Regions from separate parts of the Mus musculus genome. Here regions 2, 3, 4 and 5 are each reported to be linked to region 1. The links are microRNA targets in miRTarBase. Many come from high-throughput screens and were not tested one by one. Region 1 holds a microRNA gene; each other region holds the end of a gene's coding sequence.
Evidence for each region. Region 1 holds the annotated microRNA mmu-miR-7b-5p (UGGAAGACUUGUGAUUUUGUUGUU, at 1,722-1,745, opposite strand). A microRNA usually pairs through its seed, bases 2 to 8, with sites in the 3' UTR of a target mRNA and lowers its output. Matches are read on the target gene's strand: a 7mer-m8 pairs with bases 2 to 8, a 7mer-A1 pairs with bases 2 to 7 and ends in A, and an 8mer does both.

Region 1 (3,121 bases):
AAGGCCATTGTGGGTGGTGCCATCCTTGGACTGGTGGTCCCAGATTCTATAAGAAAGAAGACTGAGCAAGCCAGGGGAAGCAAGTAAGCAACCAGTAAGCAACACCCCTCTATGGCCTCTGCATCAGCTCCTGCCTCCCGGTTCCAGCCCTGACTTCCCTCAGTGATGGAGTGTGGCCATCATTGTAAGCTGAATAAACTCTTTCCTGCCCTTTTCTTGAGTCAAGGTCCTGTCACAGCACCAGGATGCACACTAGGACAGCTGGGGAGAATTGCACAGTGGGGGATGGTTAGTGACTGCATTAGAATGTCACAGATGATAGGTGTTGAATGTTAAGAATGCCATGACCCACCAGACAACAAGTCCACATTTTCTTGGTATCAGTCATGCAACTAGTGGTTGCTTTGTGTGGCGGGCACAGAGTTTTATTGAAAATTGGGCTGGGGCTCCATGGGTACCGTACCCAGTCAAAGCATTTGAAATTCTGAATCCAACACCGTGTATGCTAGGCATGGTTCTCAGGGACTGGAGGCAAGAGAACTCAGTGTTCAAAGCCATCCTGGGCTACATTCAGAGTTAGAGAAAAGCCTGGACTACAGGTGACACTGTCTCAAAGCAGGCAAAGTGAAAAGAGTGAGGAAAAGAAAACAAGAAAGAGAAAAGAATTTCAGGGTTTTCTAGAAGTACCTTTGATGCCAATCCCTCTTTTAAAAGTTTTATGGCCGGGCAGTGGTGGCGCATGCCTTTAATCCCAGCACTTGGGAGACAGAGGCAGGGAGATTTCTGAGTTCGAGGCCAGCCTGGTCTACAGAGCAACAGCCAGGTCTATACAGAGAAACCCTGTCTCAAAAAACCAAAAAAAAAAAAAGTTTTATGTATGCACATGCTTTTAATTCAAACACTCAGGAGGCAGAGGCAGGTGGATCTCTGAATTTGAGGGTAACCTGGTCTACAGAGTAAGTTCTAAGACAGCCAGGTTTATATACAGAAACCCTCTCTTTTTTTTTTTTTTTTAAATGTAATTCTTTTTTTTTTTTTTAAAGATTTATTTATTTATTATATGTAAGTACACTGTAGCTGTCTTCAGACACCAGAAGAGGGAGTCAGATCTCATTACAGATGGTTGTGAGCCACCATGTGGTTGCTGGGATTTGAACTCTGGACCTTCGGAAGAGCAGTCGGGTGCTCTTACCCACTGAGCCATCTCACCAGCCCCAGAAACCCTCTCTTAAAAAAAAAAAAAAGAAAAATTTTTATGTGTGTTTATTTATTTGTGTGTGGAAGCATGTGTGTCACAGGACATGTATGGTCAGAGGACAACTTGCAGGAGTTGGTTTTATCCTTCTACCCAGTTGATCCTGGGGCTCAAGCTTGGGTTCCCTAATTTCAAAGCACTCTTTCCCTCTGAGTTACTCCACTGGCTCACCATTCCCTATTTGAGTCTCCAGAGAAAGCACGGTGCTGTGACCCAGGGCCCTGAGGTTGTGTCTCTGATCCTATCATGTAGATGTGTTTGAGTGACAGGCCAATAGCATGGGAAACACTCCTGCACTCTCCCAGGGCCCGAGACCTTGCTAGACACCCTCTCCTGTCCGTGCTAGACTTCCCTTAACCCCCTCCTGTCCCAGTTTCCTGCCCCTACCTGTTTGTGTATTTCAGGAGAAAGGTGATAGGAGTCCACGCTATGAGGCTGGCTGTGACTTGTTGTCATATCATATCAGAACAACAAAATCACAAGTCTTCCACATAGCACTGGCTCACGTACTCCGCTCCTCGTCCTCATCCTCCTCCGCCAGGTTCAACACCCTCAAGTGCTTCTCTCTCTCTCTCCATAGAGGATTGAGCATAACAAACCCCACTCACTGACTTACCCTCCCTAGACATCCCTTTTCCATTCCATCCCCTGAGACACAGGCAAGATTCATTCTCTACCTGCCCCCCAACTCACACCCTGGCACATCACCAACGTGGGATTTATTGTTCCAGGCACGAGGAGCACACACTTGTCACCCCAGCACGCAGGGAGTAGAGGCAGGAGGATGAGAACTTCAAGATCATCTTTGGCTACACAAGGAGTTCAAAGCTTGGTCTACAGTGTTTTAAAATAATAATAATTATATATATAATTGAGAGAAAAACTCTTTTTAAAAATAAAAAGAACTTGAGATTTAAAGTTGGATTGAGGCTGGCTTTCCCCTCACCACTTCACTTTGGAAATTAGTACACCCAGAGGCACTCATAACATCTCGTTGACCAAATGCTTCGCCTGTACTCTGTGAGTTTGAAGCCAGCCTAGTCTACATAGTGAGTTTCAGAACAGCTAGAGGTACACACAAAAAAACCCTGTTTCAAAAAAGAAAAAAAAAATCCCTCCGTAAAGGACAAATGCCAAGAACCATTAAGAGGTTCCTTCCCTGTACACTCTCCGCCAGAACAGACCCCAAGGCGATCCCTGAAGCTGGGTGTTGAGAGCTTGGCACTGCCAGGGGCCGGGTGCTGAAGCCTAGTCTCTTCGTGACCCGCTGGGAGCTGTCCGAAATCCTGGTGCTGAAGCCGAACTCTGCTCCGAGTCCCTCAGCCGGATGGCGCTGTCCGCGTCTCCAGTGCTGAAACATAATTAGTTATTGGGGGAGGGGGTGGTCAGTGCGGCTCGAGGACACTCTCCCAGCTTCTGCCTTCTGCCAAAATGCCCCGCTCCTTGTTTCTGTTCTTCGTCCTAGGGACCCATCTTCTGTTTTAATCTCTTCCCATGGACCCGGGGTGTTCTAGGCGGGGACGAAGGCGCAAGGCTCTCACCTGCTCCCACATCTCAGGGAGACAGCCCTGGGTTCTCTGCCCTTCCTAAACAGTCCAGTTGGCCTTCTGGAAGATGTGCCAACTTGCATTGTACCCAGAGTCCCCGCTTCCCTCCCTCAGCGCACCTTTTCCTCCTTCCTTCGTGCCTTACCTTCTCCTGCTCACCAGCAGCTGCAGGTGTCTCGGTGGCTGTCCAGTTTCCGACGTTTCACCTTTATGCGCTTAAGGGGAAGGCGGAGCGCTGGAAACCCTGGGTGGGGCTTAGCCAGTGAACCAATAGGAATCGTCTTGGAATGAAGCTCCAAGGATTACCTCATAGGTTGAG
Region 2 (3,073 bases), not on the chromosome of region 1:
CCTTTGTTTCCAGAAGGGCCAGTCCCTACTAACTCTGCCTAACAATGGTTCATTGGGTGAAGACCCGGAAGGCTGAAGAGGTTCCTCTAGTACACGACACACTAAACTGACTTCCTATTTTCTATGCTTAGACATGAAGATTCTGGGTCTGGAAATTTCCTTGCATGGATTCAGGGAAATAAAGCACGTGGCCGTGAGCAATGGTGCACCCACTCCTGTCCTCAGAGGCCAGCCAGGTGTGAATGTCTAGTCACTGTCCCTCCACTCGGCAGCCCAAGCACATCAGGTAACTTCAAAATGCTCTTCTTTTAAAGAGGAAGTTATCCTAAAAATTGCCTTATGATTTGAGTGTCTAGAAACGAACACACCAGAGATGAACAAAGCCCACTGAGAATTCTGAGGAGATTCCAGTGACAGCAAGAAAGACTCTTTAAGGTCCACTGATCCTATCTCACCAGATCTCATTTGTTTGTAATTCCCTGCTTTCTAATCTCCACCCAAAGCCTACAGGCACCAGTGCCTTGCTCTCAGCCAGCCCTCACTAGAAAGGGGTTTAGCCACCTGCTAGTCTGGGTATATATAGCACACAATGCAAGGTCAGACAGCTCTAAGTTTAAAGTGGCCCAGGACCACCAGGTTATGACTGAACTAAGGCAGTGAATGAGCTGGCCCTCATCTGTATATTAAAGTTCAATGTTGAAATACAATGATAGCTAGACCAGGTGAAGGAAGACTCCACAATTTGGCCTCTCTCTTCCCTTCTTCCTTACGCTCTGCAGAGAACTCCCATCAGCTTCTCCAGCACTGTGCTCCATTATGGGAAGAGGGTCCTTTTGCCATCCCAGGCCAGATGCAATTTTCTCACAACAGTGCTGTCTGTGTTAACTGCCTTTGTGGCAGCAGTACCCTAGTGGTCCCAGAATTCTGTCTGTGGTAGGAGTCCCCCCCCCCCCCCCCCCAAGTAGAGGATGCTGTGAGCCATTTGATGTAAGGACCCAAACCTATGAAAACTCAAATCTGCTTTATTCAGAGGAGCCACAAGCTGGGCATGAGAGCTGGCATGGTGGCTCACACCTCTAATCCCAGCAGTCTGAGGTGAAGTTGGGGGCCAGTGAGGACTACATGGCAAGTTCCAGAGCTGTGACCTGATACAAACAAGTGAATAAGCTTTATCTTTCTTAGGGACAGGTAGCAACACAAGGACCAAGCAAAGTGGCCTCTTTGTGGGGCAACAGCTACTTCTTGGTTCATCCAGGTGTGCTGTAGGAAATGGCAACAGGCAGGGTGACCAGGGAAGGCTGGAAAGACGGACAGGTGAAGAACACTAGAAACTGGGCTGAAACAGCAAGCTGGAGGAATGCTTGAGTGAAGCTCAACCACTCCTCAAACCATGCCCTTGCTTATTAGCAGCCCTGATCTCCAGAGTACTTGGGAAACCATCATTACTGCTGGCTCTTCCTCAAGTCTCAGTAGATGCTGTTCACTGGCTCAAATAAAACCCACAAGAAGCAGACCCAGGCAGGAGCATCACTGACATCTCACACATAGCTGGGATCTGAAGGGGATCTCAGCTCAGTCTGCTGCTGATACTCTCTAGCTCTGGAACGTGCCATCGAGCTTGCTGATGCAGCTACGATGCATGTGTACCTCCCAGTGAAAGATAAGGCAGAAGGCCCAAGAAAGCCAACATCTGACAGGCTTTCTGCAGTTTAGCAAATTTCTTTTCTAGACATGTTAGAATGTGATAAAGCAGTAATGACGTAAGTACCCCCAGGATACCTAGCCTAAGGTCTCATTGTGTTTTGTGGACTCCTGGGCACACAACTAGGGCTAAGTCAGCCAGCTAGAGTTAAGGAGTGTGCTGCTGTCAGATTGGACGAAGCACTCTAGAAAAGTCAACCTTGCAGTTACCTTCCATTCAGACAACCCAGGGTTCACAAAAATGCTTTTTAATTTTTAGTTTTGGGGATGGCTAACAAAGCTTGTTGAAACTCTCCATGCAGGTTAATGGTCTAAAAGCCAAGCTGCCCGCACATATAAGCCAAAGCCATAGTACTCACAAGGGTAGCACATGTACATTCAGATTACCTCACAGGCGACTGCACACCCCCACCCCAAGATGAAGGCACCTCTCACCCTAGAGCCTGGCACAGTAACCCTGGGCTAGAAAGAATGAAGGGCTCTCACCAAGCAAGACTACCAAAGAGGAAGACAATCTACTCTGCAAGGAAACGGAGGAGGTTGCCAAGCAGCTTTGGCACCAGAGAGAATACCCCATTAGCACAAAGCAAAAAAGTATGTATGTGCGGCCACAGACAGACAGAAGCAGGGCTTAGTTCCAAGCAAGAGACTTCTATGAACTAAAGGCAAATGGAAGTTAGCAAAGAAAAGCCAAGGATACCCCTTTCCAACCTTAAGAGACTTTCAAGCTGGACCTGAACTCAGCCGCCACTCTGGGCCAGCCATTGGTCTAACTGGATGGAAACTAGTACACTTGAGCACCAGGCAGTTGGGTCTTGAGTTAGACGTCACCTCATTATTTAATGTCAGACCACAACAGTCCCGGAATAAAGTACCATGTGACTACACAATGGGCTTGTGGCTATGAAGTTGTGTTCCCTGAATGGCCCTGCATGGAGAAGTCTGTGTGCCATCCCTTGAAAATGGTGACAGTCAATCCAGAGGCCACATCTTGATGCACCATAAAGAGCAAGAGCATGAGACAAGCTGGTTTAGCACCATTTATTTGTGATCTCAGCTGTTGTAGTAGTTGCTGCTGTCAGCCTGTTCTCAAAGGATAACATGCTCTTCCGTTCCTCTTGTCCAGGACAGAAGGGTCTTCCAGGTGGCACGCCAACAGAACAAGAGACTCCGATGATGCCAGCTTCAATGATGGTGCCATCCAGAGAGGGAGAGGGTCATGGCACATTCAATCGCGGCTTCCAGAGGTTTTGAAAAAGGAGCCTTTGGGGGCCCAGCCTGCCTGGCATTCTAGTGGAAGTGCAAAAGGTAGCTCATTGGGAGAGGAAAGAGAGTGGGGAGCAAGGGAAAGTAGCATCTGGGTCTTGAGGAG
Region 3 (3,073 bases), not on the chromosome of region 1:
GGGCTGGAGAATGCCACTGCCCGAAACCTTCTGGGCAAACTCATCAATATCCTCCTTGCTGTCATGGCAGTTCTCTTGGTCTTTGTGTCAACAGTAGCCAACTGTGTGGTCCCCCTCATGAAGACACGCAACAGGACGTTCAGCACTTTATTCCTAGTGGCTTTCATTGCCTTTCTTTGGAAGCACTGGGATGCCCTCTTTAGCTACGTGGACCGGCTCTTCTCACCCCCCAGATGATGCTGGCATGGAACGCAGTGCTCTTCACCGTCTGGCGAGTGCATGCCAAGAGAGCTAGACAGCAGCATTACCCACTCTGAAGTTTTCTACAAGAGAGTTGAGTGAATCTGTTTACATTTAGGATAATGTTTTTTTCTTCAAAAGACGCAATTGCAATAGTATTTTTTAGATTTTATCCAAGAAGTTTTTTGGGCAAAAATCTTGGATCATTTTTATGTAGCATGATTTTCCTTGGGATGCAAATCTGAAACAGTCCTTTAACATGAACAATCTGCAGCACACTGAAGGGCATTCTGAATTGAAGCTTGGAGAACTGCACTAAACCCACTAAACAGATGCAAAAACCTGACCAGGCCCAACACCCACCCTGCCTGGCTCCTCTCCTCATCCAGACTAACTCTACTGTGAAGTCCCACCACATTCCAGGTTGGAATTTTAGATTCAGGGTGGATTTTCCCTGCCGTGGAAGAACACAGGCATCTCCCTAGCTTTCTCACGCTAACCCTGAAGTATGATCACTTCTGAACCTGCTCCTTTCTTAACTGCCAGGATTGGAAGCAAGAGCATCAAGCCCATAGGATGACTGCGCAATCCTGTTCAGTATTGTGAAGTAGCCCTTAATCCTAACTTTTAAGCAAAATCCCTTGGCCGCACTTTTAAGGTTTGGTTGTTTTTTATATATATATGTGTATAGTTACCAACTTAAAAATAAAAAATCCGAACAACATACTTGAAGAATGTAATACTCAAACTCTCAGTGCTTCCTTATAATTTCTAATAGAATTTTTTATTATTGTTATTATTATTGGGGTTTTTTTGGTTGGTTGGTTGGTTGGTCGGGTTTTTTGGGGGGTGAAGGGGACTGGGTTGGGAGGGTCTTTTATTTTTTTCCTCTGAAATAAAGCAGTGCTGTTTTCAAATGAAGCCGTGTGGATATTTCAGCGTGCTGCTCCCTGTTGTCTGGAAACAGTTGAGTTGGAGCCTGTTGCCAATGCTGCCCTCTGCCACCCTGTGGCTGCCCTGGCTCTCTGGTCTCTATCACCCACACAGCACCATCTCCCCGGCTTGGCTTGGTTAGAATGGTGAGGGGTTTACAGGGTAAGGGGACAAGACTACACACACTAGCGTGGTAGGACTAGATTTTTGTTTTCCCCACCAAGTAAATGTTCACCTGTGACCTTGGGCTGGGATTCTCTTTAGGAAAAAAGGCTACTACTATGTTATGAGAGTCAAAAATAACTCCTTGTGTTTGCTTAATTTATTGTTTAACACCCCCTAACTGCCGAAACCAAAGTGATACGGAGTCGTCTTGTCTGCATTTTGGCCTCAGCATCATTAACTTCAAAGCTTTATTCTGTCTGCCTGAGAGGATCCATGGAAGATGATTCTCCCAAAAAGCAGAAAAAGAAATGTCAGGTTAGAAGGACCCAAGTTCTAGGTGCACACTTTTGCAAGCTTCCTACAAGCCCAGACTGACTTACACTAACCTAACTGCTCAGTGGCTGTCTAGAGACACTTTAGGAAGATAAACTGAGCTTGATCCTCATCATATAGCCAGTTCCATCACTCAGGTAGTGCCTGAATCAACCTTCAGAGCCTGATTAGTCACATATCATTGGAGGTCAAACGCCATTTCCAGTGGCCTCTCTGTGTGCCCACATGATGCAAAGGGGTCATGTACTATGCCCTGGACAAAGAAGTATGTTTTGCCTATGTCCCCATACCAGGACCTTCTTTCAGAACGAGGGTAGTATTACCCTATCTGTTGGAAAGGATGGTTTACATAGCAGTTCCAGCCTCCTTTTGCTTTGGCCAGTTGGCCTTCTCACTTTGATAGTTTAACTCAGGTACCCAGTCTTCACTCCATCCCCAGGTGCTTGTTCACCTCATTAATGAGCACCTAGAGCAAGGACCAAAAGAAGGAAAACTAATTAAAACCAATGCATATTCATGCCAAAACAAGTGGTCCCCAAGCCTGTTTAAAAGGTTAACTTGGCCCGAAAATATTGCAGCAGCTTCATGCAAGAATTGCCACAGGACACTATGGCCTTGCTGGGCTAGCATTTGCTGCTGTAATCTAGTTGCTCTGGTATAGAAGAGAACCCCATGGGGCTGTGGGAGAGACAATTCAGTGGCAGCCCACTGGCTTCTCTACCCATTCCACAGGAACCCTATTCCTACCCCCACCCCTGCCCACAAATGCCACTGTGATCCACAGCTGAAGTTGTTTCTAATTGCCTAAAGGCAGTCTCTGTGTCTGGAGCTTCAAAGAGACAGGCAGACCTGCACTAATTCCCTTCTTCCTCTAGCAGACTGCCTTGGGAAGGACCTTCAGTCCAGGACAGACCCTGTCATGGCTTCTTGCTGTCTTACCCTTCTCACTCACCAGGCCCACAGTCGCCTGCACTCAGTGCTGTTTGTAACACATCTGTTATTCTGCCTACCTGTACTTTTTGCTGCCCATCCCTGTTGCCTTTGAGTTTCTTGGAATTGTGGCTGTCCTCGGAATCTCTTTTCTATTCACAGCCCTTCTATAGCCTTGCTCTGATGGTTTTAGCACTTGATCTGAGAGAAGCTTGCCCATAATTTAATGCTTCTTTTCCTTAAAAAATAAAAAAAAAAATCAAAAAAACCCACTAAAGTGAAGCATTTCTTGATTCCCTTTTCCATGCTGGTGCCTAGCCCGGGTGAGTGAGGCTGGCTGTGTTGGCCTGGGTGACTTGTGGTTGTAGAGTTGGCCATCATTCTGCACTGTTGATAGCTGTCTGCTCCAGTTTCTGGTCTTTGGTATACTCAGTGTGGCCCGGTGATGAAGGCTTTCTACTCCTTAACAGGT
Region 4 (3,073 bases), not on the chromosome of region 1:
CTCTCTCTCTCTCTCTCTCTCTCTCTCTCTGGCTTTTATTTCAGAATTATGTTCTTTACCCTCTGGTGAGGTGTCTCAGTGTTTATACTCCACCAGCTGATTTTGAAACTCTTGCATAAGTCAAGGTGACGTTTCAGTCCCACGATGGCTGAATGAGGAATGCAGCAGGAGTTTCTCAACAGTCAAGACGTCAGTCAAACATTCAATGCCGAGGCCGCAGCTGGAGAGCCATGCCCACGCCCTTGGCTGTTGGCTGAGAACCTCAGATCCTCTAGTCATAGGTCTCTGTTCAGAACTGAGATGTACTCACACACCTGCCCTTCCTAAAGAATATATCAAAGAGGGTTTGACCATAAAATTCAGTTATAGAGTAGCTCGCCTTGCATGTGTCAATCATAGATTCTATCTACAGCAGCGCATGGGTCTATCTACATGGAGCATGGGTCCCCAAATTCCAGTTTTCAGAGTCACTTGAGACTTCCAAAAGGCTTTGATGATGGCAATTCATCACCCACAGGGGTCTGGGTGACTGCATGCCTGCACACCAATGGCTTCAACGCCTATCTCAGAATTGGATCCTCTTACAAATGTGAGTCTTTTGTCTGTGTGGAGGTGCCAACCTTTCCCAGAGTGGGTCTTGCTGGTAAGGGAGTGTGAGAACATGCATCTTGAGGTATGTGAGAATGTGCGTCTTGCGGTGTATGAGAACGTGCGTCTCGAGGTGTGTGGGAATGTGCGTCTCGAGGTGAGTGGGAACGTGCGTCTCGAGGTGAGTGGGAATGCCCTAAGGAGAAGTGGAGGATTTGCATTTACCTCTCCTTTGTGACCAGGGCAATGCTGTTAACACCATCTTAATGAGCCCCTACCTCTCCCTTAATCTCTTAAAGCCCTCAAGAGAGAAAATTTTCAAAAGGCAAATCTGCTTCACCCTTCTGACACTTGGCCTGTCTGACCTGAGGGATCCTGGGAACACAAAACGTGGTATGAATCGACAGAGGTGTTAAAAAAGACCGACCGACCCTACAATAATGAGCCAAAGCACAGTTACCTTATAGCTTGCATATTTATTGAACAAATCCTACTAAAATAGCTAAAATACATTGGGTACTTATGAGAGGACCACGTTACAAAAGCCTGCATTTTCGGCAGCGCACACTGCAATTCTACATAATGCCACAAATGCACAATACCGTTTCCTTGCTTTATTTACATAGCTGATATACCTACCCTAACAGAGGTGGGGGTAGCGAGAATGCACAAGAAACTCAAGCCAGAGGGGAAGCGAGAGAAAGAGTGAAGAGGGACAGTGCATGCATCATTGGTGTTTAACAGTCAGAAGCGCAAACAGTTCAGAACAAGGCCTGCCCTGTCAAAGGAAGAGCCAAAGACGTTATATAAAAATTAAGGTGGGCTTTCAGTCTGGCTAACACAACAACATTCTGTGAGGAGATGGCATTGTCAGATTTTATTTTTGTTTATCCATTTCATTGGGAGCAAGGACAAAAATGTAAAATCTACACCTTGCTTATCAAAACCACCCCAAAAAGGTATTTTGCCTTTCACCACCATCACCATCATCACCACCACCACCAACAACAACAACAACATCGTCATCACTATCATAGTCATCACCTTCATCATCACTATTTTGTAAAGACATTTTTCCAATTTCAACTTTGGGAAAGGGATAATTTTCAAATTCCTACTCAAATGCCAGCACTTTGGATTTTTTTTCCCACATGGCACTTATTAAAAGAGTGGACTTTTATCCCCCCTCCCCCAATATCTAGTCAAACAAAAAGAATCCAAAGAGATAACCTCAGAACGCCTGGAAAAAAATTATTGCTTTTCTTTTTCTAAGTCAGGCAGGTGAGGCTGCAGAAAGGAAGAGATCTGGTAGGTCAATTACAGTTTTGTGATTGCTCCCGCTACCGTGACTGCACATCCACCAGGGCCAGTCACGAGAGGACAGCCTCTCACACTCTTGGTAGCATCCACTCAACCTACAACCCTGAAGAAGAAAGCCACACTCAAGACACAAGGGAAACAAGTCAGTCCAGTCTAGAGAAGAACATTCCAGGAAACAAAGTACCGACACCTTCTTAGAACATGGAAATAAAAACAACTCCACCAGAGCTACCTCGCCAAGGAGCATGTTGAAAGTCCAAAATAGCACCATTCATCAGTGTCTCAGGCCCTGTGGCAGCGTCTCAGTCACTTACCACAAGGAAACAATGAGTTTCAAACTACTTCTATACATCAAAAGAGTACATGGGTAAAATATAGATATACAGACAATTGATGAACATAAACTACTAGGCTTGTTACATCTAAATGAAGAAAAAAAAAAACCGTGGGGGGGACTCTCAGCCTCTGCAAGAAGCAGTCGGGAGCTGTCTGATGAAAGGCAGGAGTGGACCAGTCATCTGAGCGCAGTAGGAGTTTTGAGTTGTGGAAGACATTGTTGTAGCGAACCAGGCCTGAAGGCCCACCTGTAGGGGTTGTAAACGTGGATTCACAGTGTGAAATTCTGAGCGTTTTCACTTGAGTCAGAATGATTAAAAACTGGTTTGATGAAACCTATTTGTCCACTGTAAATTCTCTAAAGCCAGGCTTAGAGTCCCATAGTTTCTTCTTATAGTTGATGATTTACACAGAAAAAAAAAAAATCCCATATATGATACCAAGACCTCATCAAAACCCCATACACCATATGCAATACAAATGGAGGTGGGACGATTAAAAAGGGTGGAGGTAACTGGTAGCTGGAGAGGTGAATTCACGGCTGCCTGGCGGAGTCAGCGAGGCAGCGCCAGTCTCCTCCATCTTCTTTCGGTTCACTTCCTTAGGCACGGGAAGTCTTCCCTGCAGGAGAAGACAGACAAACAGACACACACACAAACATATACTTAGTCACACTTTTAAAACCATCTTTAACGGTTTTTGCTTCTCTACCGCTTTCTTGTCCTGGAACTTTTTCTATTGTGCAAACAGTTTATATATTAACAGTATTCTCCTGAACGTAAAGACTTATTTTATGTGTATGAGTGTCTGCCTGCATGCCCATGTGTGT
Region 5 (3,073 bases), not on the chromosome of region 1:
CTTTGATGAATGCTCTCTTCTTTGCTGTGGGTTTTGACCTTGGGTGTTGTGTTTTGGTGCCCCTCCCACGTGAGCATCTGGAAGCATCTCTATAGGACAGAGTGTGGTGTTACGGAGGGGATCATATATTGGCATGTCACCCCTGATCTGAGCTTTCTTCCCATTGCAGTCCCGAGCCTTCCTAAAGGATTACTTCCGGGACCACAACATTGAGCTCTCTAAGCTGCTGTATAAGATGGGCCAGACACTGCCCACCTGGCTGCGGGAAGACCTCCAGAACACCAGGTAGCCTTGGCCACCACAGCCAGCCAGAACGCTTGTGTTCGCAGGGATGTCCTGCCTCACACTGAGCCAGACTGACCTGCCGAGAAGGAAGCTGGGCCCAGCCAGCCAAAAGCGACGAGCAATACTCTGCTGAGGCCCACAGGGGCCGGAAGCCCAGGCAGGTCTGCAAGCGCCTCAGAGCATCCACCGCTGGATGCATGGCCTGTGGGACCTCTGTGGTACCAGAGGTCCATTCCGTTCCTTCGCAGCCTCCCTGCCTGGGGAGAGCACTTCCTGTTGTTGGAAGGTCATTTCCTGGTAGGAGGAGTCCTGGAGGCTCTCTCCTGTCCCTCACTGTGTCCTACCGTTCCTGTCCTGTCCTTTGTCACCCCCCCTCCCGCTCCATCAGGATGTCCCCTCAGTATTAGCTGCCATAGTTCTTCTGTCCTCCAGACAGTAAAGGGGAAGAGCGCAGCTGGGCCTTTCGCCCAACCAGGGAGAAAGACTGGGCATGTCCCTGAGGGTTTTGAGCCAGGCCCTGCCAGGGTTTAGCTAGGCACCCAGATGCACTCATTAGACTGAATGTGAGGGTGACCATCTTGAGAGGACATACGACTCTGTATTTGGGTTATTATTATCACATCTCATCTCCTCTTTGGGAAAAGACTCTCTGGTCCCTATTGTATCCACCTAGTAGTGCTCATGGTCTCTCGTAGGCCCTGGGCCACTGCCATGCCACTGGGCCCAGAGACGTGGGCCTTGGCCCCGTCCTGCTCACCTGGATGTGACATGTGGTGTTTCCTGTGGTAAAGGCTGAGGCGAGTCAGGAGTCTGCCAGTGTTCATAGTCCCGTGTACATAGATTGTTTCACAGCTGCCGCCTCGGCCCAGCAGACATGGCAGTCAGCAAGCAGTGCTGTCCGCTGCTTTGCCTAGCAACCTGTGGCCGAGGGTCCCCAGAGACCCCCTAACCTCCCAAATACTAAGAAGCTAAAGTATTTTAATATTTTGTGTTTTTTTTTTTTCTTGGTGCCAGAGTTTATACCCTGGGTGCTGGGGTCGCACTGTGTTTTATATATATATATATATATATGAAATGTGTATATATATATTATATATTTTTTTTGGTTGGGTTTGTTTTTAATTCAGTCATATACAATGATGGCAAGCCCGAGCCTCAAAGAATGTCGTATCTTAATGCTAGAGAATGAGGTGGAAAGGAAGGTGAGTGTCTATGAGCACCCAGGCCTCAGGGCGAAGTCTTGAAGGGTCCTTCTTCCCTCTTCTGCAGAGGGACCAGAGATGCTAAGATGGAAAGGAAGACCAGCTCTCCCAAAATAGTATGGCTTTACAAAGCCTAGTGGCCGTGGGGTGTTTGGGCCACAGGGAAAGGCTGGCCCGGGGTGGGACACCTGGGGCCCTGAGCTGGCCTCTCCCTCCCCTGTCACATGGTGCTAGGTTGGGGTCTGCTTTGGAGTGGGGTGCCCACAGGGACCCACAGAACTGTCTCCAGTCCCTGAAGACACAGGGTCTTTGGCTGGTTTCTGTTTGGATTCTGTTTCTGTCCCCCTTTTAACAATGTGAAGTGACTGAGGTTGGATTTCCTCTTCCTGCTACCCCAAGCCCCCACATCTCTTTAACTGCCAGTCCAGTGTCCACCAGCCATTTGTTCTGACATCCTGGCCATGCAAGGGTCCCAAGACGGGCACAAAGTGGGTCCAGGCATGGGAGGTGGCCTTGGTCAATGTCACAGAGCTGTTGGAAGCAGTGCCAAGAGCTAAATTCAGGCCCCTGATTCTGAGCCCCGTGCTCTTCCAGTACCACACTGCCTCTGAGCCTGCCTTCGGGACCCTACTGTGTTCCAGGTCCCGTCTGTCCCTCAGTCACATAGCTGTGGTCATTCCAGGACATGGGGACAAACCACTCTTTCCCAGCCAGGTGCCTTTGAGCCTTCCCTTCCAAGACCTGCACTTTTCCCGCTGTGTTCTCTTGTTTCCAGAGTCCATCCATCTTACTAGCTGGGGTCGTCTTCATTATGAGCTATTCCTTCCTGGAGTTCTCCACTGTGGTGGAGAGTGTGGGATGCTCAGAGGGACCTGCGTGCATGGTTTTGGTGTGCAGAGAGCCATGTCACATCATGTTTCTCACTGGGGTCTTGGAACCTGTGGATCCCAGTCCCTATGTGATATGCTCAAATGCCCTGTCAACAAGCTAGAACCAGACTCAGGGTTAGGTCAGTGTGCATGCCCTTAGCCACACTTCCCACCTGTCAGTGAGGATGGCTCCTATATTCTGAAAGCTACTCTGAGACCCTGTGAGAGCTGAGTTAGATGGTTGGAGTGGCCTTTAGATAGCATGCAGCTCTGTTAGTCTCTGCTTCTGGTCTCCATTGAAAGCAAGCAGGTTTGAGACCCTGGCAGAGCAGGGGAGTGGTTCTCTCTGGTCCATTTCCCTCTAAGACCCTGGAAACTGCTGCTGTGTCCCTTTCAGTGCTGGGCCTAGAGGCTGCCACAAGTTGCAGATGTGGGGTCTTGGGAAGTAGATACGTTCATCTTAGTATCTCTCAATGACAATGTCCACTGATTGACTGGAAACGTTTGGAAAAACACAAAAACAAGTTGGAAGGAAATTACTTCTGTTGTTCAGGCCACACCCTGTCCCTTCTTCAGTCTCTACCAACAGCGTTTGCCTTATGGGTGCAGCTCACCGGCAGCTGCCTCATTCATTCCAGGTTCTAGAGCTTTCTATGGGGCGGGTACCTCGGTGCGCATAGGGAATGAGGACGAAGCTAAAATGGACCTTTCAAACCC

Region 2: miRTarBase lists Eif4e2 as a target of mmu-miR-7b-5p. Seed matches in the 3' UTR shown: 7mer-m8 at 2,207-2,213.
Region 3: the mRNA of Tmcc1 is a reported target of mmu-miR-7b-5p. The part of its 3' UTR that is shown has no 7-base or 8-base seed match.
Region 4: miRTarBase lists Nrep as a target of mmu-miR-7b-5p. Seed matches in the 3' UTR shown: 8mer at 2,453-2,460.
Region 5: miRTarBase lists Ndst1 as a target of mmu-miR-7b-5p. Seed matches in the 3' UTR shown: 7mer-A1 at 2,074-2,080.

Annotation. Positions count from the first base shown.
Region 1 is chr17:56,241,641-56,244,761 of GRCm38, reverse strand. Mir7b (microRNA 7b) reads right to left here and starts at 1,774; the gene lies at 1,664-1,774. A230051N06Rik (RIKEN cDNA A230051N06 gene) reads right to left here and starts at 3,046. Exons shown (of 2, transcript NR_155493.1): 1 at 2,948-3,046; 2 at 1,957-2,606.
Region 2 is chr1:87,227,719-87,230,791 of GRCm38, reverse strand. It overlaps Eif4e2 (eukaryotic translation initiation factor 4E member 2), which reads right to left. Exons shown (of 7, transcript NM_001039170.1): 7 at 1,934-2,991. The coding sequence ends at 2,919. Among named protein-coding and RNA genes, the nearest start is that of Eif4e2, 15 kb to the right of the region's middle.
Region 3 is chr6:116,019,251-116,022,323 of GRCm38, reverse strand. It overlaps Tmcc1 (transmembrane and coiled coil domains 1), which reads left to right. Exons shown (of 6, transcript NM_177412.1): 6 at 1-3,073. The coding sequence ends at 237. Among named protein-coding and RNA genes, the nearest start is that of Plxnd1, 26 kb to the right of the region's middle.
Region 4 is chr18:33,435,975-33,439,047 of GRCm38, forward strand. It overlaps Nrep (neuronal regeneration related protein), which reads right to left. Exons shown (of 4, transcript NM_053078.4): 4 at 1,045-2,865. The coding sequence ends at 2,740. Among named protein-coding and RNA genes, the nearest start is that of Nrep, 26 kb to the right of the region's middle.
Region 5 is chr18:60,686,461-60,689,533 of GRCm38, reverse strand. Ndst1 (N-deacetylase/N-sulfotransferase (heparan glucosaminyl) 1) reads left to right here. Exons shown (of 15, transcript NM_008306.5): 15 at 170-3,073. The coding sequence ends at 289. Among named protein-coding and RNA genes, the nearest start is that of G630071F17Rik, 25 kb to the right of the region's middle.